Rhinolophus ferrumequinum: one gene and its partners. The protein of the gene in region 1 interacts with the protein of each later gene in a pairwise test. Links are inferred from orthologs where the notes say so. Each region holds a gene or a part of one and is shown on either strand. Other genes may lie near its edges. The genes, in order: DRAP1, NFYB and POLE3.

The links.
Region 2: the proteins of DRAP1 (region 1) and NFYB interact in binary tests that used the Homo sapiens proteins (3 or more experiments, as listed by UniProt). The two-hybrid records come from large-scale screens. The link is inferred for Rhinolophus ferrumequinum from reciprocal best matches to the Homo sapiens genes DRAP1 and NFYB.
Region 3: the proteins of DRAP1 (region 1) and POLE3 interact in binary tests that used the Homo sapiens proteins (3 or more experiments, as listed by UniProt). The two-hybrid records come from large-scale screens. The link is inferred for Rhinolophus ferrumequinum from reciprocal best matches to the Homo sapiens genes DRAP1 and POLE3.

Annotation. Positions count from the first base shown.
Region 1 is NC_046294.1:5,915,297-5,926,008, reverse strand, and holds DRAP1 (dr1-associated corepressor), read left to right. Parts: upstream 1-5,720; 5' UTR 5,721-5,950; coding exon 5,951-5,992; intron 5,993-6,230; coding exon 6,231-6,303; intron 6,304-6,413; coding exon 6,414-6,507; intron 6,508-6,804; coding exon 6,805-6,924; intron 6,925-7,043; coding exon 7,044-7,137; intron 7,138-7,350; coding exon 7,351-7,439; intron 7,440-7,793; coding exon 7,794-7,899; 3' UTR 7,900-8,012; downstream 8,013-10,712. Other genes in the region: C11H11orf68 (UPF0696 protein C11orf68 homolog), read right to left, coding at 3,933-4,692, 5,378-5,490. UniProt on the Homo sapiens protein: The association of the DR1/DRAP1 heterodimer with TBP results in a functional repression of both activated and basal transcription of class II genes.
Region 2 is NC_046293.1:15,777,286-15,787,527, forward strand, and holds the start of NFYB (nuclear transcription factor Y subunit beta), read left to right. Parts: upstream 1-6,088; 5' UTR 6,089-6,227; intron 6,228-6,903; exon of another isoform or gene 6,904-7,341; intron 7,342-8,438; exon of another isoform or gene 8,439-8,683; intron 8,684-8,775; 5' UTR 8,776-8,845; coding exon 8,846-8,851; intron 8,852-10,242. UniProt on the Homo sapiens protein: Component of the sequence-specific heterotrimeric transcription factor (NF-Y) which specifically recognizes a 5'-CCAAT-3' box motif found in the promoters of its target genes.
Region 3 is NC_046295.1:65,273,263-65,283,251, reverse strand, and holds the start of POLE3 (DNA polymerase epsilon subunit 3), read left to right. Parts: upstream 1-5,310; 5' UTR 5,311-5,748; coding exon 5,749-5,814; intron 5,815-5,915; coding exon 5,916-6,001; intron 6,002-6,367; coding exon 6,368-6,486; intron 6,487-6,763; coding exon 6,764-6,936; 3' UTR 6,937-6,941; exon of another isoform or gene 6,942-8,308; intron 8,309-8,335; 3' UTR 8,336-9,989. UniProt on the Homo sapiens protein: Accessory component of the DNA polymerase epsilon complex. Participates in DNA repair and in chromosomal DNA replication.

The DNA of each region.
Region 1 (10,712 bases):
TCATCAAGGAAAGACGGGGGTGGTGGGTTTCTGGGCTGGGTGCCCTCAAGTTACCCCTCAATGTCCTGGGGAATGCATGTCAGAGAAGTGGGGAGTTTCCCTTCTGCGATGAATCAGCTGTGTGACCCAAGTCTCATCCCTGCCAGGGCCCCTCCCAGCAGGCGGCAGTGGGGCGCAGTTGCCCTGCTGGGAAAATCCCCAAAACCTAGCCAAAGCTCTGGCTGAAGCTTTCTCCTGACTCAGCTGTTTCCTGTCCACCCCAATTCAGCACCTACCCACAGCTGGAATCCAGAGTCAGGCAGAGATGATCCCCATTTTCTGGTCTGCCCCTTTGGGAGCCTCCTCTCTGGGGCTCGGGGGTTCGCAATGCGATGAATGTGAGTACCTCCTTTCCCTGGCCTCAGCCATCCTTCCCATAGTTTTATAAAAGGGAGCAGAACACAGGGGCTTGTCCAAATTGTCCCAGCCTAGTTCACCCTGGACCAGGCCATTTCCTTACTCCCGTGTAGGAAGGGGTCAGCCAAATAAGGCAGAGTGCCCTGGCAGGCTGAGGGGGTGGGTCTTGGGGAGTCCTGGGCCTGGCAGGGGAGCAATCCCATGATAGGCCTGTAAGATCCTTCCTGTCCAAGTAGGCTTAGTCAGTGTACTCTCTGGGACTCAGTTTCTCTACCAGTAAAATGGTAATCTTAGTCTTGGCCCAGCCTCTCTCCCAGGGGGTTCTGAGGACCCAACCTGCGTACTTTACAGACTCCAGAGGGGTTGGCCAGAGAATGGGGAACGTCTCTGCGTCTCTGCCAGACTCTGGATTTCAGCTGGGTCCTTGCTGGCTCTTTGTTATCTTTGCAGCCCCTGCACCCCAACAGCGCTTTCTTATAGTGGGGACTCAACAATACATCAGGTGCTCTGGAGTTGGATGACCTGGATTCAAATCTTGGCTCTGCCACTTATGGCTTTATAACCTTGAACTAATTACTGAACCTCTCTGGTCCTCAGTATTCTCTTCTGCAAAATGGCAACTATAATAGAGCCAGATGAGGCTTAGAGGAGGTAACACACATGAACACTTAGCACAGTGCCTGGCTCATGTGATGAATAGAATGAGGAAACAGTCACAGAGACAGAGAGTAACTTTTAATCAATCCCTCATTTATTCAATAATGTTGATTTGGCCCTTATGCTAGGCCAAGGTCCTATGCTGGACGCTGAGGGATAAAGCGCAGCCACTGTCCTTGAGGGGCCCAGACACTCAGATGAGAGCCACAGGTGGGTGGGTTTTATGGGAGCCTGGGGTGCACATGGTTGGGGAGGAGAAACCTCCAAGAAAATGAGCCAGTGGATGGTGGGTCTGAGACGTGGAGTCAGCCAGGAAAGCAGGCAAGTGTCACATACACCAAGCAGAGGACAACATAAGCAAAGGCACAAAAGTGAGAAAGGCCAGACTGTGTGCAAGAAAACCACAGGCGGCTCTTGATTCTGAAACAAGGGTGAAGCAGGGAACGGAGGAGAAGGGGCCGGAAGGGCTGGCAGGGGCTGGATTTGAGCTGTTCACGCTTTCATTCATTTAATAATTTATGGAGAGATTACTCTAGCCGAGTACTGTGCTAGGCTCTGGGAATAGGGCTGAGATTCAGACATTGCTCCTGCTTTCACTGTGCCCTGAGTCTGGGTATGTGGCTTATGGGCCCACGAGAGATAGACGTCAATCAAGTGATCACATAAGCCACCTGTCCTCCTTGCTGCACGAGGTGTTTAAGCCGTAGGAACAGCCTGAAGCTCAGGGCTGTGTGCCAGGGGCTGAAAGAAGTGCCAGTTAGCTCCAGTGGGGTGAGCATGGGCAGAAAGGGGTGCTTGAGGGAAGCTGGGGCAGTTGGTCATGGCCGGCCCAGGAGAGTGGACTGTGTACTGCAGGCTGTGGGAGCCACAGAAGGGCTTCCAGTAGGAGGGACACAGGCAGCTCTGCGGGAGAGCTGGCTGTGGGGGCAAGAGGGAGAAGTGGGAGGGGAACAGGGCAGAGGAGGCAAGTTGTAGCGCTTCGCAAGAGAGTGAAGAACGGCTAAAGCAGGGCCATGAGGCTGGAGAAGGGGTGTGTGAAATGCTCAGTTATGGAAGGAGAACCAGGTGGTGTTGACAGGACCTGGGCATCTTTGTGGGACCCCTGAGGGCCTGGCCAGGATCTCCCCAAGCCTTGGCCCATTCTGGCCAACTGCAAAGCACTGACAGTCTGAGGGAGGCAGAGCACCAGGATCCAACTTGCAGACCACCCAGCTCTGGGGACTTCCCAGGGCTGGGCTGAAGGGGGACTGAGCCCTGGGGAAGCTTGGGGTGGGGGCTGAGCGAGCATCTCATGACTCACCCACTTCCACCCAGTCAGCCCAGTGGCATCTCCGCTCCCCTGCTCCAAATTCCAATTTGGTGAGGCTGCTTGAGGCTGAGTCAGCTCCGGCACGGCACGAGCAGCATCCCAAGGGGCTTCCTGCCAGACACCCTGGCCCAAAACCAGGCATGGGGTTGGGAGGGTGCAGAGTCAGGCTCTGATGGAGGCTCCAGCAGCCTAAGTTGAGGGGGGTGGCCCAGAGAGATCACGTGGGTGGGTTGTGAAGGCTCACTGTGGGTGAGGCCAGGGACCACACTCTGCCTGAGGAGGCAGGGACCAGGGTAAGTCCTAGCTCTGCTCAGCTCACTGCATGACGCTGAGGGAACTCCCTTCCCCTCGGCCCGTTTCCTTGAGCACAGAATGGGACCAACGTGTCCTTCTCAACAGGTTGTGAGAGTTAAGTAATGCATACGGGAGTGCTTTGCAAACTGTCCAGTGGGCCCTGTGATGGCCAGGATGGTGGAGAGGTGAGTATAGCCAGCTGGGATTCCACGGTTACTTATGGTTGTGCAGATTGTTTGCTGCACAAGGATGTCCACCCTACGTTGCTGAAATCCAGCCCATCTGCTCACTCACCAGACCATGCATGTGCTTTGACATAGGAACTGCCAGGACCAAGAGGATACCTTTCTCTTATAAGCACAAATACACCCTGTGGGTTAGTAGTGGCCCCTTGGACTTTGCTGGGCCAAACCCCTGGATTTATGGGAAATCACTGAGAAGATGATTCTGATTCTTGGGATGAAGGCGAAGCAGTGCTGGCTTTGCAGAGGCTCTCAAGAGAGATTCCCAGCCTTGGCAGTAAGGTGTATCTTATTACTGGGGGCAGTTAGGAGGGCCCAGTCAGGGCGGAGAGGCAGTCTCTCCTGGCCCTGCCTCTCTCCAGCAACCAAAGCAGGTAACCAACAACATGGTATTTTAAAAAACACTCAACACACAGACCCAAGCTGGGTTTTATTGAAATGCCAGGAGCAGGCACATGGCAAGATAGTGAAGGGAAGGTAGTGCAGGCTGTGAGGTGGCAGGGAGGAGCAGACACCATGTTCATGGCCCTGGCATCCCCTCTTTCTGCCAGGGGCTGAGTGGCCCCCCCTACCCTCCCCCCAAAAAAAAGGCATGCTCAGGCCTGCAGGGCCTCTGCCCCCCGGGCTGTGAAGGCTCCAAGGAGAGGGACTGGAAGCACTAAGTTTTCTCTTTTGTGAGGAAGAGGAGAATGCAGGAGGAGGGGGAGGTACAGCCAGGGATAAGGGTGGCCAAGGCAGGCTCTCTCCTGGGTGTCTGTACCCAGCCTATGGTCCTGGATGGCAGAGCAGAGCAGCATCGAAGAGAGAGGCTGAGGGTCCGGTCCTAAGAGAGCCAGAACCTCCAGCAGGTGGGGACTTGACTCAGCCCTGAACAGAGGGCAAAAGTTCAAGGGGATCGAAGATGCAAGCAGTTCCCGAGTGACCTAGTCTTAGAGCTGTGGGACATGGCCTCCTTGGGACGAGGAGGAGGAGAAAGACGGGAGGATCCATCCCTAGCAGGGGGTACAGAGGGTGGTCTCCCCAACTTGGCCCCACTAGGTCAGTTCCACATTGTTGGCACGGTCCAGCACACGGGAGCCACGAGCATTGCCCCCCAGCTGGAAACGGCTCTCATAGAGAGTGGGGCAGAGATGCCAGCGGTTGGCCCGGTAGATGCCCAGGTAGGTGTAGACATCAGGCTTGTAGGTGAGCAGGCACTTAATGCCTGCTGCACGGATGGCTGCATCTGCCTCCAGCACACCCAAGCGGTCCGTGAAGTCGTCTGTATAAACACAGATGACCTGGCGCCCACCCTCCCTGGCCCGTGGGCTCACCTTGGCCACCTGAAGCCGGCCCTCGACCACAGCCCGAGCAATGCCAGCCCAGGCATGGTCCAGCTTGAAGCCAGGTGCCAGGTGCATCAGCCACTTTCCCGAGAGCACGTGGTGGGTGATGGCCAGCTGGCGCAGGGTACCTGGCGTGACGGGCCGCCCGCTGGTCTGCAGGGCTTCCCAGGCTGCCTGCAGGCCCTGCACATCACCCGAGTTGGGGATGTAGCCCTGCCCATACGCTGCAATCCAGCCCACGGGCTCAGAGTTGGGTGAGCTAGGGTCCCCGTAGCGAGTAACTTGGGATGGCGGGTACTTGGCCAACCAGGCATCTAGCTCAGAGGCAGGTGTGGTGCGGGCGTCAAACACCAACCAGGGGTCCATGTCAGCTGCCATGGCCTCTGCAGCCAGATGCTCAGCAGTGAAGCCATCCTCACGGCCACCTGGAGAGTCCTCCTCCTCCAGCTCCTCACCTGACTCCATCCTGCTGTGAGGGAAACAAAGTTCGTGACAGATTTGCAGCTTGCTGGGCCCTAGCGGGTGCCAAGCATTAGACTAAACTGTGTGGCCTTGGTCAGGATTTAAAGTCCTCGTGCCTCAGTTGCCTCATCTTAACAATGATAACAACTGTTCCTGGCTCAATGCGCTGTTGACAATTAAATGCCTGAGGTGGAATAAGCACGACTGAGTGTTATTGCTCATGTTATTTCTACTCTTCCTGACTTACAGACAAGAAACAAGCTCAGAGAGAAGGGACTCACCCAAGGTCACACCTATAGTGAGCGACAGGGCCTAATTGTAAATTCAAGTGTGGGTGCAACTGACCCAGCTACACCTCCTGGCCCTGCCAGTGACTGGCAGGTATCCTGGGCGCTGGCATTTAATGCAGGGAAGCGCAGGAGCCCCCGTTCGCTCAGCACCGAGGCAGGCCCTGCAGGGCAAGTCCTCCCAGGCGGGCGTTATCTGGCCCACTTAAAAAATAAGGACACTGAGGACCAGAGAAGGCAGTGACGGGTCCGAGGCCAATGGGGCGGTGCCCGGACTCGAACCCCGGCTTGTTAGAACCAGCGGGAGGGCCAGCCTCTGGCCCCGCCGCGCCCGCCGCCATTAGCGCCCATCGCAAGAGCTTGGCTCCCGCCCGACTCTGCCCCCTCCCGCCGCCCCGCCGTCACCTTCGGCCTTCGCTGCGTTCGGCACCGACCCAGCCCCGCGCCTGGCTCCGCTCCTGCCGGGGCTCCGCGCCGCCGCGCCCCGCCCCCGCCACGGCTGCCGCCGCCGCCGCCATCTTAGCGCCCCGCCGCCTCAACAACAACTTTATAGATAGACAAGCGCGGCACGGGGCGGGGCCCCCGAGCCAGAGCAGCCGCGCCGCGGGGCGGGGCCGGCCACTGAGGGGGCGGGACTTGGGCGGGGCTGACCCCAGGGGCGAGGCCATCAAGAAACCCAGGAGGGGCGGGCCTGCGGCGGGGCGGGGCTAACGTTCGCTCTTCTGGCCTGGGGGCGGGCGGGAGTGGCGGTCGGGTCCCGGACCGACGCGCACAGCCCAGGAGGTTCCGAGGGGCGGGCACTCGGACCCTGCGAGAGGCTGCCTACCGGCGGCGCTAGGACCCCGTGGGGAGCGGCGGGGGCGGAGCGGGCGGCACCAGGACCCGGGGGAACCTCGACGGGCGGGTGGCGAGCAGGCCCCGGGGCCGGGAGGCTGCAGGCGGCGGCGCTGGGCCCGGCGCGGCGAGAGAGTCCCGGAGATGCCGAGCAAGAAAAAGAAGTACAACGCGCGGTTCCCGCCGGTGAGCATGTGGCTGGGCCCGGCAGGAGAGGGCCCAGCTCCCGGGAGGCTCGGGCCCAGGCCTGCCTGGGGGGCGGGCGCATCGCCGTGCCCCGGGACCCGGACGCCCCGCCCCCTTCTGTGCCCTCCTTGCGTTGTTGCCCCCCGCCCCCTTTCTCCCGGGATACCCCTCTCGCTCTCCCCAGTACCCCATTCTGGGACTGAGGCGACGGGGTCCGACCTCTCTGCCTCCTCCCCAGGCGCGGATCAAGAAGATCATGCAGACGGACGAAGAGATTGGGAAGGTGGCGGCGGCTGTGCCTGTCATCATCTGTATCCTGTCGGGGGCTGGCCGGGTTGAGGGACGTGGGGGAAGGAGGCAGCCGGGGGTCGCCTTGTGAGGGCTGGGACCCCACTCCCGCGTTCTCCTTGACGACTCTGAGCCCGGGCGCTTGAGCTCTTCCTGGAGTCGCTGTTGAAGAAGGCCTGCCAGGTGACCCAGTCCCGAAACGCCAAGACCATGACCACATCCCACCTGTGAGTGGCTGCGAGCTGGAAGAGCCCAGTGGGGCCCTGTCCCAGGCGTTCACACACTTAAGAGAGCCTATGTCCTGATGGGGAGGTGGGAGGCTACTGGGAGACCAGCAAGGCCTTAGAGACTGGTGGTTCGAACTTGGAGAGGAAAGGCTGGGTGTTCCAGCAAAGGGAGGAAGTCGGGTGGTAGAGGTTTTCCAGACTCCATTCTCCTAATATCCAGAGCTTCTTGCTGACCCTTGCTGAGAGAGCAGACATCTGGGGCCCTGCCAGATGCCATCCCCGCCTCACCTCTTTCAGGAAGCAGTGCATCGAGCTGGAGCAGCAGTTTGACTTCTTAAAGGACCTGGTGGCATCTGTGCCTGACATGCAGGGGGATGGGGAAGACAACCACATGGACGGGGACAAGGGTGCCCGCAGGTGGGGAGTTAGGGCCGAGTGTCCAGGCTGGAAGGCCAAGGCCACCAGGGATGGAGGGGGTTGGGGGGTGGCGAAGGAGCAGGGACACCTCTGAGCAGATGGATTATACCTTCCCAAAGGGGCCGGAAGCCAGGCAGCAGCAGCCGGAAGAATGGTGGGATGGGAAACAAAGGCAAGGACAAGAAGCTGTCAGGGACGGACTCTGAGCAGGAGGTGAGTGAAGCCCCCAGCCCTCTGTCCTGCCTCTTCGAGCCGGCTGGAGGCCTGGGCCCACCCTCACCTGTGACTTCACTGTACCCTGATTTCTTTGTTTTCAAATTGGGGTGATGGAGGTCAGCATCCTGTCCCTGCCACTCCGAGAGGTCTGGGGTTTCAGTGATGGTCCCATGCCTTTCTTGTCACCCCTGACCCCTGCCTTGCTCCCAGGATGAGTCTGAAGACAGTGACACTGATGGGGAAGAGGAGACAGCGCAGGCTCCACCCCAGGCCAGCCACCCCCCTTCCCACTTTCAGAGGTAAGCAGCTCAGTGGCTCCAGGAGGGGGCCAGCAGACTCCCCAAGGCTGACTTGTCCTTCCTGGTCACTTGCTTCTGTTGTTTGTGGCAGATTTGGGGGATGGGAAGGGAAGAACTGAGGAGGGCTTAAAGACAGGAGACTGTACTCTCAGAAAGTCCCTTCCCCACAGTGGATGGGGCCTGGGCAGGGCCTTTGTGACCTGCTCGGGCCCTTCCCTTCTCTGGGCTTGGCTCCCATTTGGTACAGAGGGTGGGGGGCTCCATGCTGTCTGTGTGGAGGGCGGAGTGGGGCTCAGGGGGTCGGAATGGGCCCGGAGAGTGACCTGATTGCCCCTCCTGCTTTCTGCCCTGCAGCCCCCCAACACCTTTCATGCCCTTCACCTCGACTCTGCCTCTGCCCCCAGCACCTCCGGTTCCCTCCGCACCTGACGCAGAGGATGAAGAAGATTATGACTCCTAGCGCCCTCTGCCCCCCAGGCCACACCCCCTTTTAGTTGGTTTTAGTTGTTCTGGGGGGAGGAGAGAAGGTAGAGCTGTTCTTAAATTTATTAAAAAAATAATAACAAAAGGGAACATCAGTGTCTGTCCCAGCCTCTGTCTAGGGCTTTGTGGCGGCCTTCCCACCATTCCACCTGAATTCCTCACACTGAGCTGGGGCAGGAGCAGGGGTGGGCCGGGCAGCTGCTGAGTGAAAGGAGGGGCTGGAGGCCACGGGTGTGCCAGCGCAGGACCAGGGGTGCTGAGAGAAGGAAGGTGGACAGAGTGGTGTAGGACCTGAGCCAGCAGGTGCCGCTGTGCTGGGGGACAACCTATCTCATTGTGCTGTGTGACCCTGGACAGGTTCCTACTGTTCTCTGAACAGCCTCTTGTCCTCTGACGGAGACCTTTTTGTCCACTGGGGGCTGCAACTAAGGGACAGACAGGACGAGTAATAGGAACTGGAGAGCTCTGAGCCTGGTGCCATGAAGGGTAGAGGAAGGGGCAGCAGGAGCAGAGGTAGGTGGGATGGTTGTGGAGAGTCTCGAAGGCCAGCTTGTGATCGGGGCAGTGACACAGTTCGTCAGTCCATGGCCATTTCTGAGCGGACCCTGAAGCTGCAGTGTCCACGGAGGCAGACGTGTGCTTCAGGGAGCAGTGGCTTGAGGCTGGGCAGGAGGCATGGAAAGCAGTGGGTCAACTTGAGTGCTGATGGTTGACTGGACAGGGCAGAGAGGGAGGGAACCCTCAAGGGCTCTCAGGTTTCTTTCTGCAGCAGCTCGGGCAGGGGCCTTTTCCAGCTGGGGGACATGAGGTAGAGCGGGAGTAGGCCTGAAGATGACAAGTTTGACTGTGATGAATTTGGGGTGCCTGTGAGGACGCTGAGGAGAGGTGTGGAGTGGACACTTGGACACGGGCCTAGAGACAGATGTGTGAACTTTGAGAGTAGGTGACTTCACCTCGGGAGAGAGGGGCAGCCCATCAGAGGAGACTGAAGAGCAGCCAGACCCAGAACCCCCAGGAGCCACTGGATGTGCCCACCCAGGGGGCTCTGGGAGAAGGGACAGGCCAGTTGTCACACACCAGGACACATTGCAGGCTTTAGGGAAGCCTTCCGCACAGCTGCCTCAGAGGCTTGCTGGTTGTTGATGAGGCAGGGAGAGCTGGAGGTGAGAAACTGAGGTGAGCTGAAGCAACACCGCTCAGAGCTGTGAAGTGGAGAGGGAGCAGTAGCTCAGTGAGGAGCAGGGAGTTTCTGTTTTTGTGTTTTAAGAGGGCAGATGCAAGCTTGTAGTGAGGGAGGGGATGTGGGATAGGAGGGGAGAGAATGGAGTGAGGTGGGGGGTGCCCAAGGCAAACCCAACCTGGTGAGGGAGAGGGCGGTGAGGAGGTTTAGGTGGGAGGACTGCAGAATTCAATTTTCACCCAAGATATCTGACTTCTGTGAATTAGGAGGCTGCTGGCAGGTGTGGAAGGGCCCAGGGCAGCTGGAGCTGGGGCATGTGGGTCCTGTCTGCCTCTCGTGTGCTCCCCCTCTGGATATAGTACCTCTGCCTTCTTTTGGGGAATCACCTTTTCTGTACTCCACCTGCAGTGTGTGCAGCAGACCCCACTTCCTGGGGTGGAGGGATGGGAACATCACCAGCCTGGCCAATCACATCACCCACCACACTCGCTCTGGCCCCAGTGAGTGGTACAGGCCGGTCATGACCACTGGGACTTTAGATGGGACCAGTGGGAAGGGGTTTTGACATGATCGCTGGCTTCCCCGTGGCTGGGAGAGCAGCAGGGAACCCTCTGAGGAGTCCAGGTGAGGGTGATGGCGGCCATGCTAGTGTAGCAAAGCTGGCGGAATGTCAGCCGGGTGCTGCTGGAAGCTGCTTCCAACCCTGAGGGGCAATTCTGACTGAGAACAAAGCCAGCACAGTAGAACCAGTTGGCGCAGAGGCACAGTCGTCTGATGACATCTGAACACCTGAACCCAGTCTTGCCTGAAGCCTTCATGCCTTAGGCTTCTTAGTTACGTGAGCCAATAAACATTTCCCCTCTTGAAGTCACCTGGGTTGTGTCCCTTGGAACTGAAAGAGCTCTGGCTGGCAGGGACCATGAATGGGAGGTGGTTCCCACCGGCCCGGGAGCGGGAATGGTTGGGCTCAGTCCCAGGGAAAGGTGGGCACCTGGGCCCACGGAGCTGAGGACACCAAGCGGCTGTGAGGAATGGGGGAGGGAGAGGAAGAGACCCTGGGAGCCTATTGCTGGAGTCTGTCCAAAGGCTGAGATTCAGAACTGAGAGGGTTCAGAATGACAAGGCTGGATTGTGAAAGGCCAGGAGGCCAGGGTGCTGGGACCACCTCCCGCCAGGCAAAAGGCTTGAGGACGCGTAGGTGGGGGTGAGAGAGGTCCAGGAGCCCCTGGCCTGTCCTCTGCTTCTCGGCCTGTTGGTTTGGCCTTGGGAGAGTACATAGGAGTGGAATCTCTCCAGCCAAGCCATGGATTCAAAGCTTCTCTGTTTATTAACCTCAGGCAAATTCAGTAGCTTCTCTGTGTCTTACTGTTCTTATCTGTAAAATGGGGCTAGTTATTACCTACTGTTGGTTGTATGTACTAGACTATACTATACATACTAGTTATACCGATCAGTTAGAACCAAGGGCTGATGTAACAAACTCAAAATACATAGGCTCAAATGCAATGGAAGTTTATTTCATACTCAATACGATTCTTAAGGGGATTTTTGTGATCAGTGGGCTGTTCTTCTCCAAGAGGGACATCAGGGCCCAGGCTCTTTCCGTCTTG
Region 2 (10,242 bases), on another chromosome or scaffold:
AGGTACCTTGCCGAGCAGTTTCTTCCCCTCCAGGGCTCAGCCTGCCTCATCACATCTCCCTCAGAGGACCTTTCCCTAGAGTCCCTATTGGTATTAAATTTTACAACCCTTTTATTCCTTCCCCAGGCACCTCTAATCCACAATGATGATGGGTGTTACAGATCACATTGCGTATAAATTACTCCCATAGCTGGGTAAACCAGGTAACCTTTAAAGATGGCATGATTCCACTGTAATAAAAAAATATTAATAACTATTACACTTCTTGTATTCACAGTCATTCTTAATTTTGATTTCTTTTTCAGTCATCCCCTTCTCAGTAATTATAACAACAACAATAATGACTAATGACTGTTGGCCATTTTTGAATTTGCCATGCTCTCTTCTCAGTTCTTTATTCTAACTCATGCCTCCCAACAACCCTAAGAGTTAGGTTGTTATCTCCAAAATGGATGAGGAAAAGCATCACTTTGCAGGTAAAGAGATTAGGACATGCAGACATTATGTGTAGCCTGTGAACCCAAGGTCACTCAGCTGGTAGTTGATAGTACCAGGATTTTATACTAAGCAATCCAGCTCTAGAGCCTGTCCCACCTTCCACTCAAGTTACCCAAGCCAACCACCCAAGAATAAACCCTATTTATTCACTATTCCTTTTTTGGCACTAAAATGTTCTACCTCTAAAATGTATTGCCAACCTATCCACAACCTTCCATCTCTCTATTTTTAACACTGCCACCATAGCAGAAACCACCATGGAGCTCATCAAGAAATGAGTTTTACTAGAGCAGGGACTTGATCTTGTTCCCCACTTTCCCCCCAGGGCTGGCTGACCTGTTGTAGATATTCAATAAAAATGGACTGAATAAATGATTTTCTAACTGAAATCAACAAGCATGCATTGAGCCCCTATTCTGTTTTTCAGAGAAAACTGCTGACTTTCAACATATTTACTTGCAGGTTTTCTCTGTTAGTATTCATATAAATATAAACTTACAAAATCGGGGTTGCATTATATATCTTTGTGCCGTTTGTTATATTCTCAACATTGTATTCTGAACATCATCCCATATTATTAAAAATTCTTTAAAAAATTTAATTGCAGCATAATATTTTATTTTGTGACATACTTTATTTAAACATTTCAAATTGTTAGACAATTAGGTTGTATTAGTTATCTATTGCTGTGTAACAAATTACTCTAAAACTCTGGCTTAAAACAAGAAACATTTCTTATCTCGCAGTTTCTGTGGGGTAAGAATCTGGGAGTGACTTTGGCTCAGGGCTTGGTTCTCGAGGCTGCAACCAAGCTACCAGGTGGACTGCTGTCATCTCAAGGTTCAAGTAGGGGGAAAGACCCACTTCCAAATTTACTTGGCTGTTGGCAGAATTTGGTTCCTTGCTGGCTTTTGGCTGGAGACATGTTTTCATTCTCTCTCTCTCCCTCTCTTTCTCTCCATATTTATACACATACTTAAAGACACACCTATATCTATATCTATTTACACATCTATCTATCTATCTATCTATCTATCTATCTATCTATCTATCTATCTATATATCTATCTATCATCTATCCATCTAATCTGTCATCTATCCATCCATCAAAAAGTTACCAAGACAGCATTCACAGTCTCTTTGTAATCTAGTGTTACCTGCTGTACTCTATTCATTAGAAGCAAGTCAATAAGTCCAGCCTACACTCCAAAAGAGAGGATTATACAAAGGTGTGATTATACCATGAGGTGGGGATCATTTGGGGGACAGTTTAGAGTCTGCCTACCACATAGCTCTTCCCAAAATTTTTCTACTATTAATAGTAACAGTGCTCTTCTGAATACCTTATTGCCTAATTATCTTATTAGCTACATTACAAATGATCTCCTTATAATATATTTATTGACTAGAAGAATAAGACATTGTAAAGGCTGCTAACGCACGCTGACTAATTGCTTTCTAGAAAGCTTCCCATCATCAGTGTATGGGAATGTCCATCTCAACACATCTTCATCATTGTAACATTTTTTGCTTATTTGATAGGTTTCTCCTTTTGATTTGCACTTGTATTTTGTTTATTAGCCATTTGTATTTTTTCCTTTTATGAATTTTCTATTTTATGTTCTTTGCTTATTTTTCTATTCGAGATTTAGTGTTATCAATTTGTGTGTCCTTCCATACAAAGATATTAACAATGGGTAGGATTTTTTGGTAACAATTTTATTGGGATATCATTTACATATCATACTATTCACCCATTTAGCGCATATGATTCAATGCTTTTTAGTATATTAATTCATCTAATCCATGGAGAAATACTGCTGAATGATTTGAATATTTTGATTAACACGTTATAATAACTTGAGGAATTTTAAATATGTTCATTAACTCTGTTTCTCTGGAGAAAGATAACTCATAAGGCTTTGGTAATTTCATGGTCATTTACATTATCAATTAAAATATAGTTTTTTTCCAATGCTTGCTCATACATTCATTCCACGCATGCATATCTATGGAGCTCCTACTATGTGCCAACTACTGTTCCAGGCACTGAGAATACAGTGGTGAAAACAAGGTCTTTGTACTCAAGGAGTTTATATTCTAATAAGGTGAAATATTAAAAATCCATTCATTCAACAAATATTTATTGAGTACCTACTCTGTGCTTGGGATGCACTAGTGAGCAAAACAAGCAAAAATTCTTGTCCTGATAGAGTAACTTCTAGTGGGAAAAGACAAACAATAAGCCATGAACAAAATAAGAGGAAAGTCTATAGTTTGTTAGAAGGTGGTAAGTGTTATTGAAAAATAAAATAAAGCAGTTAAAGGAGAGTGGGGGTAGTTAGTTGAAATTGCAATTTTTACATAAGGGATCAGGGTTGGCTTCATTAAGAAATGGAAGGAGATGCGAGAGTGAACTGTGAGGACACTGAGGGATGAAAAATCTGTTCCATTGGCAGGTGGAACAGCCAAAGCAAAGGCTCTGATGCAGGAGTGTTCCTGCCAGAAATAAGGACAAAAAGGAGTGGACTGAGCAAAGGAGAAACTAGGAGGAGATAAAGTTAGAGGGGAAGGAGAGAGGGGACAGATCATAGATCTCATGAGGTCACCATTCATCTCTAAAAGGAAACAAAAAGTACTGAATATATTTCTTGCTAAGCAAAGGACATCTGCATTGTAAGGTAGAATATCTCTGAACAAAGAAATCTGTGGTCTTACATAGTGTTTTGGGAACACTATGAGGTTCAGGGAGTAGCACTTTTAGAAGCTGGATGGTTTAGGGATGAGCTGACAGATAGCTAAGGAAGCAAGATTACTGGGGTGTAGCTATTGCTGATTGGCTAATTTCCAAAACAAGGGGCTGTCCCTGATTGGGAGGTTGTCATTGATTGATTAATTAACATACATTCTGGTGATTACTTGTACTGTGGCCAAAGAACAACTAGACTTTTTCTTCTACTTTGAAGGATCACATGCTGGCTGCTATGTAGGCCAGGGTGGAAGCAGAGACACAAGTTAGGAGGTAAAAGGAGATGTGGCTTGAACCACGGTGGTAGAAGTGGGGGGTAATAAGAAGTGTTCTCATTTGGAATATGTTTATAGTCAACAAATAAACAAGATAATCCAATTAAGCTAAGTGTATTGGAGTGAACATAATATTTACCTTCACATAGGATGATACGACTGGATGACATTCTAGAGAGTAATGAGGTGAGGCTACTTTAGGAGTCAGAGAAAGGCTCTTTGAAGAGGTGAGACCTCAAAGATGAAAAGAGGCCAGTTAAGAGCTTACAGCAAGAACTTGGTGTGTGTGTGTGTTTGTAGCAGAGTCAACATGAGTCTGTCTAGAAGGTGGGGGGTGGGGGTGCGGAGAGAGGCAACCTAAAGCCCAGATCCTTCCAGGCCTTTACTGCATAGAATGGATTGAGAAGAAAGGGGGCAAGAGTCAAATCAGGAAGTTGGAAACAGGGACAATACTATAATAGACACTGTCATCACGGGACTATGAGGCCTCATTAAAGCAATAATGTAAAATCCAGCTAAGTCTTCATTGTGCCCAAGATTCTGGTTTTTTTGTTTGCCGAATTATGACTCATGTAATTGGTGGTATAAACTAAGGGATAGCTGTAGTGTAGGGACTGGGAATAAAGAAAGACCCCTCTCCTCTGTCCTCTGACTTTAATGCAGGATCTAGATTAGCTATAATGTCTTTCCCAAGACTAAGTTGTGATCCACATCTCTCTTACCACGTGAGCAGGAAAAATGGTTAACATTTATTGAGGCTTTCTGAATACAGGTATAAAAGGACAGGTTGTCCTTGGGATTCAACTGCAGAGAGGTTGTGGACTAGGTCCCCGTCACCTAGAATTAGCAACCGAGGGTAAAGTGAGTGCTTTGTTCACCTTTACAGCCTGGGGCTCCTCACACAAGTGCTTGGTAAACAGTAGGAGCTGAATAATCTTTTGTTGAATCTGAATTAAGCATGTAGGTTAGATCAACAGTACTGAAATAACATATTAACTCAGAAAACAGTCATCTTTGCATCGTTTGGTTCACTATCCAGTGTGTGGATTAGTCATACTTCTCGCAATTCCGCTACTGCCTTTTTTTTTTTTTTTGTATTTCCTGCTTTTGAGCACATCATTTCAGTCCTAAAACTCCACTTTATAGGTAATCATGGAGAAAGGGAGAAGTGAAATGCAGGCCAATTTTACTCCTGTTTTTTTTTTTTTAAAGCAAATAAGTTTTTAAAAGTTTGATGAAGATTAAAAATCATGTCCTATAAAGATCTTTAGTAATAAGCCAACTTTTCTTTAGTGCTTTCTATGTGTATTATGTGTATTGACTTTATGTTAATTCCAAACAAGCCTAAGAAGTAGCTAGTATTACCTCCCTTACGGAGGTAAGGAAACTATCAGGAAGAGGTAAAGCAATTTGGCCAGGATCACAAGTTGGCAAGAAGAGCTGGAATTCCAAACAGGTCGTCTGATTCCACAGTGGCACGCTGCTCCGTACTACTCTTGGAATAATTTGGAGACTTCATTTGTCTTTGCTTCCTTCATTGCTCCAGAAAAGTTAAAATATGTGGAGAAACAGTAGGAGCCCTATAAATAAAACACGTCTATATATTTTTAAATGATTAAAGCTAGAAGGATGAACGTGGCACCAGCCCACTTGTTTAGTGGAAGTAAAGGAGATTCCCGGCTCCCTTTGCAGAAATCCTGCCGCTCTTTGCAGCGAGTGGCTTCTGGCTCATTGCCCATCTATGATGGTCTCAGCCCAGGGAAGTAAGTCCCACCCAGACTGCAGTCCGGGAAAGTCAGTGAAGGAGCTTGGCTGCACCGAAGCAAGAACGGGCCACGGATTCCTGCAGCCTAAATGTCATCTGGTTGGGAAAAGCTACATGTCAGGTTGCAACTACTATGGAGGTGGCAGGAAATGCAACATTTTAAGTTCGGGGTGAAGGATGGCTCGACTGACGAACTTGTTAAACCTGAGGGAGAGGATTGTATCTTTAGATGAAATCCGAAAAAGCGAACACCGGAGCTCAGTAACCAAGTCAGAGGGAGCGTTGTGCATTTGGCAAAGTTAACAGCGGACGCAAGGAAAACACGAGGTGCTGAAGGCGTTCCAGGAGCTAACTGCCTTTCAAATCCACCCAGTAGCTCGGGTGTCGTCCTGGCTGGCGGCTTCTGCCCTTGGTTTCCCCTTCTTAAAAAATCGAGGCGCAGGCAAGCTGCACTCAGGCGGGTGAGACACTTCCACGTGGGGACGGCGGGGGCCTTAAAGAGAGGAAGACCTGAGAAATCACGCTTCGCAGAGGCCTGGGGAAAGACCGTGGGAAGAAAGCCCGCGGAGTCCTTAGCAGTGCGCCGGCTCCTGGCCCTTGGAAGAAGCACCGGCTCAGCAAACAGGCCGCTGCCACCCAAAACCTGCCGCGCGTGGCCCACAGCCCGCTCTGCAGGATAGCGCAGGGGTGGCCGCAGGGCTCCCGGGCCTCGGGCGGGGCCTCAGCGGGGGCGGGGCGGGGGGCGGAGCCGCGGCCGGCGGGAGGGCGCGCGGCAGGCGCGGAGGGAGGGTGTCGAGCCGAGGGAAGCGGCCCGCGGCGGAGGGAGGGGAGGCCGAGTGCTGGAAGCGGAGCTCCGCGCTGGGACTGGTTCCTTCGCAGCCATTTTCTGTCCAACCAAACAGCCGATTGGAGACGGGAGCCAACCAGGGCTGCATTGGAGGTTTGTGTCTCGCTTCGGCCAATGATCGCTCCTAAACCGACTCCACTTTAGCTCGAATGAAATGTCCGTCTCCTGCCGGCGCCGTCCCCGCCGCCAACGCCGCGGCGGCCGGGGGCACTCGCCTCCCTCCCGCCCGCCCTCCCGCCCAGGTCGGGGCCGGGGCCGGTTCGGCGTCTGCGAGGCCGCTCCCGCTGCGGGCCCGGCCGGGAAGCGGGCGCGGGGCCGCGGTGCGGCTCTTTGTGCGCGGGGCCGAGGAGCGGCGGGACGCTGGCCAGGCCGCCTCCCGCTCGTCGCCGCTGAGCTCCGGGCCGGAGGCCGAGAAAGGGGCGCCGGGGCTCCGTCGGGCCCCCCTCTCGGCGGCGCCCGGACCAGCTCCATTTTGCGTGGGGGCCTGCCGGGGGGGGCGGGGGACGCAGCTCCAGCCCCCGATCCCGACCCTGTTCCTTCGGCCTGGCAGCGGAGCGGGGGTCCCTGGGGAGTGCCCCCCTTCCGCCCGCGGGGGCATGGCGGGGCCGGGCCGCTTTGTCTGTCCCGGCAACCCTGGCACCGCCCGGCGGGCGGGCGGTAGGCGTTGGGCGCGGGCCCGGGGCCTGGGCCAGGCGTGTTGGGGGGATGCGCGCCAGGGGCGTCCGCCGGGCACAGGCGGGACTGACAGATCGGCGGGGCAGTGGGGCTGGGGCCAGCTCGCGCACCTTCGTGGGGAGGTAGCGAGGTCCCTGGGAGGAAGGAGTGGATTTGGTCTCCCCGCAGTCTGGTTTACACGTAAAGAATGCAACCATCTGGCGGCTTGCGGTCCCTGGACTTGCCCCGAAGGTGGGAAGGAAGCCTTTCGGATTGGACTAAGGTTTAATCTTGGATGGGAGGCGGGGAGGATATTCCGGGCCTTAGGAGCAGTAGTCTGAGAGAACAAAGAATTACAGAGCACCCACAAGTCGTGATCTCCCCCAAAGTACTGTAACAAGATAAATTTAAACAAGCTCAGGTAGCATACGACCTTTAAAAAAACAGCATCCCACTATCCGTCATGGGCTTCTCAATTCCGTGGTTCATGCTACGAATCACGGGTGGTTTGGGCTCTCAGTATGCAAACTGATCAGCAACCTAAAGTGATAAGGTAAACCAAACAATATAAGTGACATTAATAAATAGGGGTTTTATTTGTAAAGTATTGAAAGTTTCATCAGAATTCCTTAAAAGGCAATTATTGTTTCTCCCCACTGCTCTTGTAGCTTAATTTAAGGATTATTATTGATGCAAAACTCTGGTGGGGAAGAATGGAAGGTGGAGGAAGGGTCCGCTGCATTTCTTGGATACAAATTTGCATTTCTTGAAACCTTAAACAGATGTATGGGTTCCCTTGAGCTTTCTCACATGTATCATAACCTGCCTTTAAGAAAATATATACCATATGAGATGGTAGTGTTTTTCTCTAATATACTGAATCTAAATAAATACTCAACTGTTTGGGTGAGTGTGGTGAGGTGTGACTCTTCCCCTCCCCCAAGCAAAATACATAATATATACAGCTCTTATAAGTATTCTGAGGAATTTGTTTTTTCAAAGACATGCTTAACAAATAACACGGCTATAGGGAAGGAATTTGGGGGTTGGAGGACAATATTTGAAAAGAAATTAGAAATTGCTTTTACGATCATAGCAGGCAATGTCAGCCTGCCTTTGCTGCCTCCACCCTTGAAGTGGCTTTTTAAAAATTCAAATCAGTGGCTACAATTTTTCTGCTGTTTCCTAGATTTCATGCTGGAATGCACGTGTAGTTTTTCTTTCCTTAAAATTAACACTGAAAGGATGCTTTTTGACATCCCCCCCCTTAATTGTTTCACTTGAAAAAAAGGAAAAGAGCAAATGAGAAATGGAGATTGTAATTGATACCAATTTATTCAGCTATGTACAGTGAGAATGAAGAGCTAATGAATGTAGTTTTAGTCCAAAATGGTGGTGCTTTAAAATTATAAATAGAGGTCTTAATTGATTGTGTTTGTTCTATATATGTTCTTCATGGTTATGGGGCAGCATGGTTATCTTCTTCCCAGTATAATCTGAGATATTCAATGTAAAAGCATTACATTCCGAGGTAAATTTTTCTCTTTTGAGGTTTTGGACCCCTGAATTGCACTCTAAAACATTAATAAAACCATTCCCCCCAAATTCAGTTGGTAAGTGGGGTGTTTGTGCCTTGGGTGTTAATATTTTAAGTAATATAGATGTGTAATTTTTGGTCTCTTGCATATTATATAATTTGATGTGTTGTGATGAATATTTATGGGGAGCATGACTAACTTCAGGGTTATGTTGGAAAAGCCATTCCCCCACCCTCCGCAATGGAGTCAACTTTTAGAGTTCAGTTCTCCAAAATGAATCTTCCAATTCAACACACATTTATTGGGTGCCTGCTTTTTTGCACCATTTTATACCACGCACCCCATTGAATAAGAATAGTAGGTAAAATTATGTGTGCCTTTAAAATTTTTACTAGGAAGAAAGCCTGTAGGCTGTACATTTTTACTACTAATAGATGTTTATCTTCTAGGTTGAAATTGGGCAACGATTAGACACCATTTTAGACAGGTGTTCTTGAACGCCACTGACAACAGTATTTCATGACAGTAAGTATGTTTTACCATTTTTGGTTGTTAATTATATTTGCACAGTAACTAGCTGGAAACAAAATTATAACTGAGTTATGTTGGAGATTCCTGATAGAATGACTGCCTTTCAAGTCTAGACAGATGGTACCTATGCTCATTCCTAAAGCTTCCTTCTTTTTAGTGACTTGCATGTAGTATTTCCTAAGGGCCCCTAAGTGCTGGCAAAGCTACAGGGTAAAGCTTATCCCAGCTCTTAAGAGGCTTTCTGTTTATCTGGTAAGACTTTAGTCGAATTAAAAGAGGACAGTTATATGAAGAATGGAAAATGATGGTTCTAAGGATAGTAGTACACGTGAAAAGCAGAGGTGTGGAAGGCCGGGGTAGTTGGGAATGTCTTGGACGGAGCCTGTAGGCCTCCAGCTGAACCGTGAAGGATGATGCCATTTGAATAGGTAGAAGGTGCGGCCAAATGTAAAAGCCTGAAGGCAGGGACGAGTGACTTATGCTCAGAGGATGGGAAGTAGATCTTCATGGTCCAAGTGGGGATTTCATAGGATAATCGAGTGAACAGATACCACTCGGCCCCTCTGGATGCTCAGCTCTAGATCTGCTACTGTGATGTCAGGGCTGTCACAGCTTCCTTGAGCCCTGTTGCCTCACTGCTAAAATAAAAACTGCACCTGGTGATCCATAAGTAAGGCACATAGTGGCACTAAGATTTTATTACACTTAAGATAGAGTTGAAAACAAGATTCGGTAGGTTAAGTGGGGGATCCACTCTTGTACAGCCATGAAGACTTGGTCGCATTTGAAGACTTCTAGAACCATTATAGGTGTAACAGCTGTAGATGTTTTAGTAAGATTACTCTTAAAACAGTATGTTCTCAGGTAAGTTGGGTAGTAATGCAGTGGAAATAGAAAAGGAAGGGCATATCCGAAAGATATTTTAAAAGAGGTAACAGATTAGGTAGATCTTGGAGGAGATGGAAGAACGTAAGATGACACTGGTATAATTAGCCTGGAAGAGTGGAAGGATGGTTTTATTAATAGGATGGCCATAGTTGAAAAGGAGATCAAGGAGCTCACATCCATTGCCTCGTTGGAGGGGATGGAGAAGGTGAGTTTCATTTTCCAGTATCTTCCAGTATCTTCCGGCAATGATAGGATATCAGACATGTTCTACAAGCATACCTTATTGAGTGGCCAGCAGGATATGGTTATAGACTTAGGATTTATGAGCGTAGAAGTGATACTTAATGAATTCATTAAGATGGGAAGGGAAGAGAGAGAATACAATAACCTTGGATAAAAATAACAATTAGGAGATGGAGAGGAAAGAATAAACCCGGAAAAATATTGCTTTGGAAATCAAAGGAGAAGAGAATTCCAAGCGTAAATGTGGGGTTGGC
Region 3 (9,989 bases), on another chromosome or scaffold:
GAAAATATAATAGAAATTATCAGGAGCTCGAGGGAGGAGGGAAGGAGGAGCTATTGTTTAATGGGTACAGAGTCTCTGTTTGAGATGATGAAAAAGTTCTAGAAATGGATAATGGTGATGGTTGCACACTGTGAATGTACTTAATGTCACTAAAGTGTACACTTAGAAATGGTTAAAATTGTAAATTTTATGTTATGTATATTTACCACAATAAAATAATATTGTCCCCTTACATTTTTATATCGCTTGCTATTTTATTTATTAAAAAAAAAAAAAAACATGTTAAGGGGCAGCTGGATGGCTCAGTTGGTTACAGCGCGAGCTCTGAACAAAAGGGTTGCCGGTTTGATTCCCACATGGGCCAGTGAGCTGTGCCCTCCACAACTAGATTGAAGACAACGAGCTGCCACTGAGCTTCTGGAGGGGCGGCCGGATGGCTCAGTTGGTTAGAGCAAGAGCTCTCAACAACAAGGTTGCCGGTTCAATACCCGCATGGGATGGTGGTCTGCGCCCCCTGCAACTAGGATTGAAAACAGCAACTGGACTTGGAGCTGAGCTGCGCCCTCCACAACTACATTGAAGGACAACGGCTTGGTGCTGATGGGCCCTGGAGAAACACACTGTTCCCCAATATTCCCCAATAAAATTTATAACAACAAAAAAAACACGTTAAATGTATAAATGAATGACTATCGCAAAGAAGCATAAGATAGAGACCCAACTCTTTAGCCTGATTTATGAAGCCCTACATGATTTAGGCCCCTGCTTTTTCTTTCCTTTTTTTTTTTTTTTTTGAGGCCCCTGCTTTTTACTCCAGCTCCTCCAGCCTCATCTCTGACCACTCTCCAATTCCTGGTCCATGTTCCAAACACACTGAACTATCATGTTTCCCCGCAAACAAGACCGGATCTTATACTAAGGTTTGCTCCAAAAGACGCATTAGGGCTTATGTGCAGGGGATGTCATCCTGAAAATTCATGCTAGGGCTTCTTTTCCGGTTAGGTCTTATTTTCGGGGAAACACGATGTGTTTCTGACACCTAAAGAATTTCCTCTTGCCTCCTGGATCTTGCATGTGCTAGTTCTGTAGTCTAGAAGTCTCTTCCTTTCTACCTCCCACCTGCAACCCCTTCTTCACTAAACTGCTCTAATGCCAGGTGTAGGCATAGATGCCACCTATATGGAAGACAGTGCCCTGGGTGCCTCCACACACCTGGGCAGGCACTCTTCTCACCACACTCATTACAATGAACGATTCTTTACTTCCCCGACTAGGCTGAAAGCCCCTTGAGGGTAAAGGCTGTTATCTTGTTTACCACTGTCTCTCCAGTGGAGAGCAAAGTGGCCCCCACTAGGACATATCTGGTAATTCAATGAGTGACTAAAAAATGATGCCATGGGGCCGGCCTGGTGGCTCAGGCGGTTAGAGCTCCATGCTCCTAACTCCGAAGGCTGCCGGTTCGATTCCCATATGGGCCAGGGGGCTCTCAACCACAAAGTTGCCGGTTCAATTCCTCGAGTCCCGCAAAGGATAGTGGGCTCCGCCCCCTGCAACTAAGATTGAACACAGAACCTTGAGCTGAGCTGCCTCCCGGATGGCTCAGTTGGTTGGAGCGCATCCTCTCAACCACAAGGTGGCTGGTTCGACTCCTGGAAGGGATGGTGGGCTGCGCCCCCTGCAACTAGAAAACGGCAACTGGACCTGGAGCTGAGCTGCACCCTCCACAACTAAGACTGAAAGGACAACAACTTGAAGCTGAACGGCATCCTCCACAACTAAGATTGAAAGGACAACAACTTGACTTGGAAAAAAGGCCTGGAAGTACACACTGTTCCCCAATAAAGTCCTGTTCCCCTTCCCCAATAAAATCTTAAAAAAAAAAAATGATGCCATGGTCTTTACCTTCAGAGACCCTGACTGGGAAAAACCACTACTTTCCCAGGGCTCACCTCAAGTCCTAGAGAAACTGAAAGTAGTCCTACCCTCTCCTATACTCTTTAGCCTAAGAGAAATCATCCAGGGATTCCTTAAATCGAACAGGAAACAAGAAATCTCTACAAGGGCCACCACTAGTGCTTTGATTCCAGACAACAAGGTCTTCATATTTTAAAAGTCTAAGTTTTCCACAGATATCTTAGTTTCATATATCAGAAAACACCAACTGGGTGACTACATTCAAAAGGGAGATTCAAAAGGAAAAGCCATTGCTTCTGACTTCAGGAATTTACAAACAGTTTCATACCTAAAAATAAAAGAAAGACAGCATGCATAGACAGTTTTCTGATGACCTATAGAAGTTGATGAGATAAATATTCCCTGATATGGGCTGAATTGTGTCTGCAAAGTCATTTGCTGATGTCCTAACCCCCTGTACTTCAGATTTTGACTGTATTTGGAGGTAATTAAGGTAAAATGAAGTGCTACAGGTGGGCCTTCATCCAGTATGACTGATGTACATGGAAGAAGAGAAGATTAGGACATGGGCACACACAAAGGGAAGACCATGTTAAGACATAAAGAGAAGATGGCCACCTACAAGCCAAGGAGGGCTCAGACGAAAACAGCTCTGCCAACACCTTAATCTTGGATTTGTAGCCTCCAGAATTTTGACAAAATTAATTTCTGTTGTTTAAGATACCCAGTCTGTGGTACTTTGTTAAGGTAACAAAGCAAACTAATACACCTCCCATTTTAACCAATTCCTAGAACACAAATAAGAATGCTTTCTTTTAGTTTCCAATTGCTTATTTACCACTTCTTTAACTGAATCGATGCTTTATTTTTAATCCAGCTTTCTCAAAGTCTACTACGTGTATAAAGGAAGTCAACCCCAAATTTTGAGATAATAGGCCCTTAAAAGACGATTCCATGATAATTTACCTGCCTTGAAATTTGGAGTCCAGTTTTGACCTCTGAGACAATAAAGAGTGAGGCTTAGTGAAGGTAAATTCTGATAAATGATGATGAGCATGTCTCTTGGCCGGAAAGCAGGAATCTGAGATGTTTACAATGGTGAGCACTGGGAGTTTGTCTGAGAAAGCAGACCAGAAGAAAACATGTAACATGCCAAAAAGGAACCAAATGGAAACAGTTCAAAGATCTTGTAAGGAAAGAGACAAGGGTTGGCTAATTCACCATTAGCATCCAGAGGAGCTCTGCAGGGTGAGCCCAGGATTCGAGGGTGGCCCCTCTCAATTCGGCGGATAGTTGCCCAGCATTGTGGATGCTGACAAACAGCCAAGTTACAGGTGGTTTCATCCCACTGGCTCTCATCTGGCAAGTCCATAGTTATGAATGGTTTAGGACACAAGCCAACCTTGCAGCTTTTTAGCCCTCTGGAGAGACAGTAACCACATAATTAGGGAGTATTATATACTAGCCATGCAGTCCAGATTTTAATTTGGACTCAAAAGTATAAAATATTTCTATTGAGTCCATATAGGCAAATGGTGGTCACAAAATAATTAAGAATAGGGTAACAAGCAAGTATGAAAACATCTCAGCATGAAGTAGAGTGTCAAGAGTTTGGGAGCAGACTGACTTTAGAAGGTCTCCTAATTCACCATTTAAAAGATTCGTTAGTCTGAGCCTCCGTTTCCTCATCTGCAAAATGAGAATAAGCCTATTTCACAGGGTCATTACAAAAAATTAGTTAATGGATATTAAAAGGTCCGGTATACAGTTCAGAATGAATATCAGCATCCTTTCCTTTTCCCCTTCATTAATCACGAAGGAAATGATACCATCTCCAAAAAGCCTTATCAAATCACAACTAATGTAGTCACAGAAGTGCTTTTACATGGCTCAAAACTTTGAAAGCCATAGGCTTCACTTTTCAAATGCTCCAATTTTCATACAGGCAGCTACCCACCGGAAATTAATAGGTTTGCTCAAACAGCAAATCAGTAGACAGACTTGCAGTTGCATCAGAGGCCATTGGCTTTTCATTTACTGTCTGTAGGGTCTTGGACAAGTGACTTAACCTCTTAGCCTGTTTCCTCATATCGAGGACAAGAAATCCCTAAGCAGGATTGTAGAAGGATTAAATGAGATCATGTACTTTTAATGTGTGACAATATAATAGGTGCTCAATAAATACAATCATCTTTCTCTCTCTAAAAATGTTTTAGGCAATCATTACCACCTGGTCCCTAACAACTTTTTAAGGACAGTGTCCATTTGTACTTTCTTTTATCCAAGATGTTTATTATTGACTACCAAATATGTGAGGGAACCTGTATAAGCATGGAAAACAATAAAAACAAAATAAGTCTCTGTTCTAAAGAGCTTATAATTTAGACCAAAGGTAGCAAAATATTGGTCTGGGATTGCACCTGGTCTGTGTCTTGTTTCATTTAGTCTTCACTTTGGGCCATTATTTCCATTTTAAAATGGAAATAATCCATACTGTCCAGATTTCTGGCTCCTTTTAGCAATCAAAATATCTGACAACACAGGGGGGCCCAATTCCAACTAGACAGCAATTGACTGAAGCTGAGCATCTCCTGACAGCTTTAAACCAGGTCTGTCCCATCAAAGTGGAGAGTTTTCCCACCAGACCCTACAGTTTCTAACCGAAGCAGTTTCAGTTGCCATTTATCCTCAAATTCCTGTTGCTTTTCTCATAATAGGGAAATATTTCTCTATACTCATCAAAAGCAGGAAAACGAAAGGGTGACTTGGGATCTCTTTCAAGAAAAAAAAGCATTAGTACTCAGTTAGGAGTGAGGACAATTTCTACATACATAACATGAAAATGATACAACTTAAAAAGCCACTGTAAAGCTGTGGTAATGTTTTTGACTGGGAAAGATGTTTTATGAACAATTTAATCAACTAAAAAACCACAATTTTAACAGGGTTTGTTTTTGAATAGGAATGTGATGTTGCCGGCTGCTTATCGACCTTTCCTTACCTGACCAGCCCGAATTGGCAATGCCCCAAGGTCTGGTCATGCCCACCTTTATGTTGCCAGCATTGCCTCTGCGCTGGCTAAATAGATTGCCTTCAAAAATTCTAGGTAGCAGTTATCCTTAATACTATTACCACCAAGTTGGGAGGGGTGTAATGATTAAGGATGGACATCAGCTCCGCTAAGAGTTGAAAAAGAGACTCCCCGCTTCGTTCCGGAAAAAGGGAGGGGAGAATTCGGCCTCGGAGGGTCGCGGTTCCGCGGAGTCAAAGCAGATGCCACACCGCTGGGAGGCCGAAGCCCACTGGGAAAACCTTGCTCCTCGCGGGGCCGGGATGAGGTCTGTGAGCCCCGCCCACCAGGCCCCGCCTCCCGCCCCAAGGGGCCCCGCTCCGCCCGCACCGTCCTCGCCTCCGTCTCCCGAGCTAGCCGGCAGGCTGCGCTGTCGCTAGGCAGCGGCGCACGGTACCCTGCGGAAGGGACGGAAGCCCCAGTGAGCCCGACTTAATTTGGTGAAAAAGCTCCACACGTGGTGGTGGGTGAAGCGGACAAACGAGCTTGGGAAGGGACGCCGAGTGTCAGTGGGGCCAGACGGAAGCCCCGGCGGACCGAAACCATCGGGGCGTGGAACGTTCGGCCGCGCCAGCGACTTGAGGCGGAAGCGCGGCTGCTGGAGGAGGGAGGCTATCGCGCGCGGGGCCGTATGGGACACGATGTGGGCAACGTGGGGCGGGACGGAAGCCTCGTTGGGTCAGACCGTGGCGACGCGGGAAGTCTGGACGCCGTAGCTGCCTAAAGAGGAGGCCTGAGAAGGAGGGCCGGTCCCAGTGGCGGCAATGGCGGAAAGGCCCGAGGACCTCAACCTGCCCAATGCCGTCATCACCAGGATCATCAAGGAGGCGGTGAGCAGCTGGACTGACGGTTGGGCCAGGGGCGGACGGACGGGCAATGGGGGAGACAGGTCCTGGGCCCGTAGCTTTGCTCACCCCCGCTCTTCTCGCAGCTCCCGGATGGTGTCAACATCTCCAAGGAGGCCCGGAGCGCCATCTCCCGCGCCGCCAGCGTCTTCGTGCTCTACGCCACATCCTGGTGAGGCGGGCAGAGCTAGCCAGACCTTAGCTGTGACATAAGGGACTGTGACATAAGGGAAGCGCAAAGAGACTCCCTGCGCCCGAGTTTGTGGCTTTTAGCCCACAAACCCCAATTACTATCCTACCTCAGTGGAGGGAGGTTCACAGCCTTCATCCACTTTTTGCAGGATCTGAAGCAAATAAAACAAAAAATAACTTCGCTTTAACTTTCTTGTACAGGGAAAAGGGAGTTACCATGTCACAAAAATCCGTGCATCTAAGACATGGGCTTTCCCATTCCACCCCTGGGTGCTCCTTTTTCTATCTGATCCATAAGTGGCAAGGGCGAGTCTGGTGACCCTTAATATTTCTCTTCTTGTTTCAGTGCCAACAACTTCGCCATGAAAGGGAAACGCAAGACACTGAATGCCAGTGATGTGCTCTCAGCCATGGAAGAGATGGAGTTCCAGCGGTTCATTACCCCGTTAAAAGAAGCTCTGGAAGGTAATGACCATTTTATTTTCTCAGTCAAATAGATAGATGTTCATTCCGTGTGACCTTCTCACCTGGTCCTAAGTCTTTCTGGCTTGGATCCCTTGAGTCCAGTAAGCAAGTATTGGGTGTGACTCAGAACCATTTCAGTTGGACCATCTCAGGTCTTATCATTCTAGCAGGTAATTTTTCCGTCTGGGCCTCAGCTTTTCCAGTTATACACAGGCGTTAACTGCTGCCATCTGTGTGGTTCAGCCTTGCCTCCTAACTCCCTCCTTCCTCCTTACAGCATATAGGAGGGAGCAGAAAGGCAAGAAGGAAGCTTCGGAGCAAAAGAAGAAGGACAAAGACAAAAAAACAGATTCAGAAGAACCAGACAAGAGTAGGGATGAGGATAATGACGAAGATGAGGAAAGACTGGAAGAAGAAGAACAGAATGAAGAGGAGGAAGTGGACAACTGACCAGGGTGAGGAGACTGTGGCACCTTGGAAGGTACCACTCAGGAATGTGCTGTATGTTTATATGAAGCTTTTTCCTACTGGGCAGAGCACTCTTAGGCAGCAGAGCCTGAGACCATCGAAATGAAAACTGGCTCGAATTACCAAACCGGCACTTCCCAGACTCAGAACATCTGAGTAGCAGAATCCTGTTTTGCTTAATTGGCCTGAAGGTTATGACTTTTTGGCAAGAGGGATCCTGAACGGATAATTTCATCAATCAATTTGATCTCTCTTGTTTATTTTTATATGTGATTAGGCAGGTTTTGATTCTCAGTTCCTTCCATGCTTACCCCACCAAAAATAACAACTTCCATGCCATGTGCTGTGTTCCAAATCACAGAGGCAGCCAAAGGCTCAGGAAAAATTGAGGCTTAGATCATGGTCAGCCTGCTTGTACAGTATCTGACAACACTAGCTATTACAAGTGGTCAGAAAGGCTTAGCTTTGGGAAACTGCTGAAAGGCTATGGGAGAACAATGGAATCTGTGATCTTTACTTGACTGTCAACATTCATTGGATTTTGGTTTTTACAGACCCACTTGGCTTGGGGCCCTTCTGTATTGCCTGCAAACATTTGACCTGTTGGTGTGCTGCACTCTGGGAAAATATGCTTTTAAATCAGCATTGTAGAGTGGAATTAGTCAAGCAAGTGTGCCAATGTCTAACTCTTAAAAAAACAAATGGTTGGTCTTAGATGCACCTCACTGCCTTCCACTGTACAATGTTAGGATTTATTGTGACCCAGAAGGTAAAAATCCCAGGTTTTTCTCTTACAGGCCATCTCCCAGACTTAGGACTATGGCTTTTCATTCTTCCAGTTCGTGACAAGTTCCAAGCTTTATTTCTTCTAGGCACAGCTTTCTCCTGTGCTTCTCACTTCCTGTCTCTCTCCTTCCTTTCCTTTGCTCCCCATTCCCGTTATCTCCCTTCTTTTCTCACTTCTGTCAGTCCAGAAACTTGAGTAATCTGCTTTATATCCCAAAGTACAGGTTCCTCTGATTTCTTAGGTCCAATTTCATGTCTTTTAAAAATGATTTTGTAAACCTCCTGAATCTTCAGGGAAATCCGATGGTGCTCGAGAATCTAACCCCCCACCCCCATTGCCAAACCATCCCCTTTAACTATTTGTAAAATATCTCTATTGACCTTTCTTCATTTTTTTTTCTCTTTCCATTTAGTGCTTCAAGCACTTTTTTGTCTCTAAGAAGGTTGACAGGTGTAGTTTGACACTTAATTTGTGAAATGAATACAGTGAAAAGTTGATAAATGAGTGAAGAATGTTGAGAAAATTGCAGTGCTTTGTACAAATAAAAAACATTCTTGTTAAAAGTGATGACTACTCTTTCATGCTTCTTCGTAGTATGCTTTGGGGGAAGACCCACTGATCACGCCCTGTACAGTTTTTGGACTGTGGACTGGGCCAGACCTTGCTAATTATGGGATCCTGCATCACCTTGGATGACCGGCAGGGCTGCTGTTTCCCAGGCAAGGGAGGCTCTGTCCCTCAACCACAGCGAGAGAGCTTTCCATGGCTCTGCAGGGCACCCTGGACATACTAGATGTTCAACAACTCCAAACATTTATTGAGTTCCTGCTATGTGTCTGGCACTCTTCCAAATGCTTTCAAGTATTAACTCTTAAACCCTATGAAGGCTCACTGCTGTTATCGTCATGATCCCAACTCTAATGCTGTATTACCTCTCTAACCTACATAGACTTCTCAAATCATGGATTTATAAATAACATTCCTCAAATATAAACCCCAACAGTCATTAGATCCAGTGGCCTTTTCCTTCTCCACGGCAGAAACATTTCTTAATTCCTATGAGCACCACTCCTAAGCCCTCAAGTCCCATCTGGACTCCTGTGGCTTCCTTTGAGCTCAGTTTCCTGCCTCATCTCAACTTCCCCTATGTACTGCTTGCCAAGTGGCTCTTCCTGGAACATTTCTGTTACAGTCCCACACTGTTTCCTATTAAATCCATACTTAACCCTGTTATTCAAAGCCTGCTTAAAGAGGGCTCGCCTTACCATCTGTTCTAATCTGCTTCTACTCCAACATAAAGCTGTAGTCAAGAATGAATTCCCAAAAGAACTCCCTTTCCACGTGGCTTTGGTTCTTACCAAACTTTGACTACCTAAGAAAAGTCACGTTTGCTGAAAGTAAGGACTGTGACTTAAAACTACAGAATTTAAGAACTGGGAAGAATGCGGTCATCCCTCAGTTTTTCTCACCTCTATCATTCCTGTAGTGGTATCTGGATTTTGAACATTCCTTATTAGACTAAGGTAATGTTTCTCATCATTTTTAACCATAGCCCTTGATGCCTCGAGTTTCTGAACTGGATTTGGAGGATTAGGAGGGTCACCATCGTTAGCCATGCAAAATTGCTTTTGCAGCCTAATCTATTTTTGCCAATGGGAAACAGGCTTTTTAATTTTTATTTTGGAACAATTATATTTATAGAAAAGTTGTAGAGTGTTCCCATATAACCATTACCCAACTTCCCCTCATGTTTACATCTTACATAACCATGGCACATTTCTCAAAACTAAGAAAAAACTATTAATTAAATTGGCCAAACTTGTATTTCACCAGTTTTTCTACTAACATTTTTTTCTGTTCCAGAATCCAACCCAGGATACCACATCACATTTGGTGAACCAATTTTCTTTTTGAGATGAAATTCATAGAACATACAATTAACCATTTTAAAATTAGCAATTCAGTAGCATTTAGCACATTCACAATGTGCAACCACTACTTCTATCTAGTTCCAAAACATTTTCATCACCCAAAAATAAAATCTCATACTAGTCAAGCAATTACTCCCCACGTTTCCCTCCCCAGCCACTGGCAACTACCAATCTCTTTCTTTTTATGCTCTTTAAAGCATTTAGTGCCATTCCATGTACCTACCTGGGAGGCATGATAGTTTAGTGGGTTTCGGGGTGGGGTTGGGGTGTTACTTTTTTTTTAATTAAAATATACATACTAAAAGGTACAGGTAAGT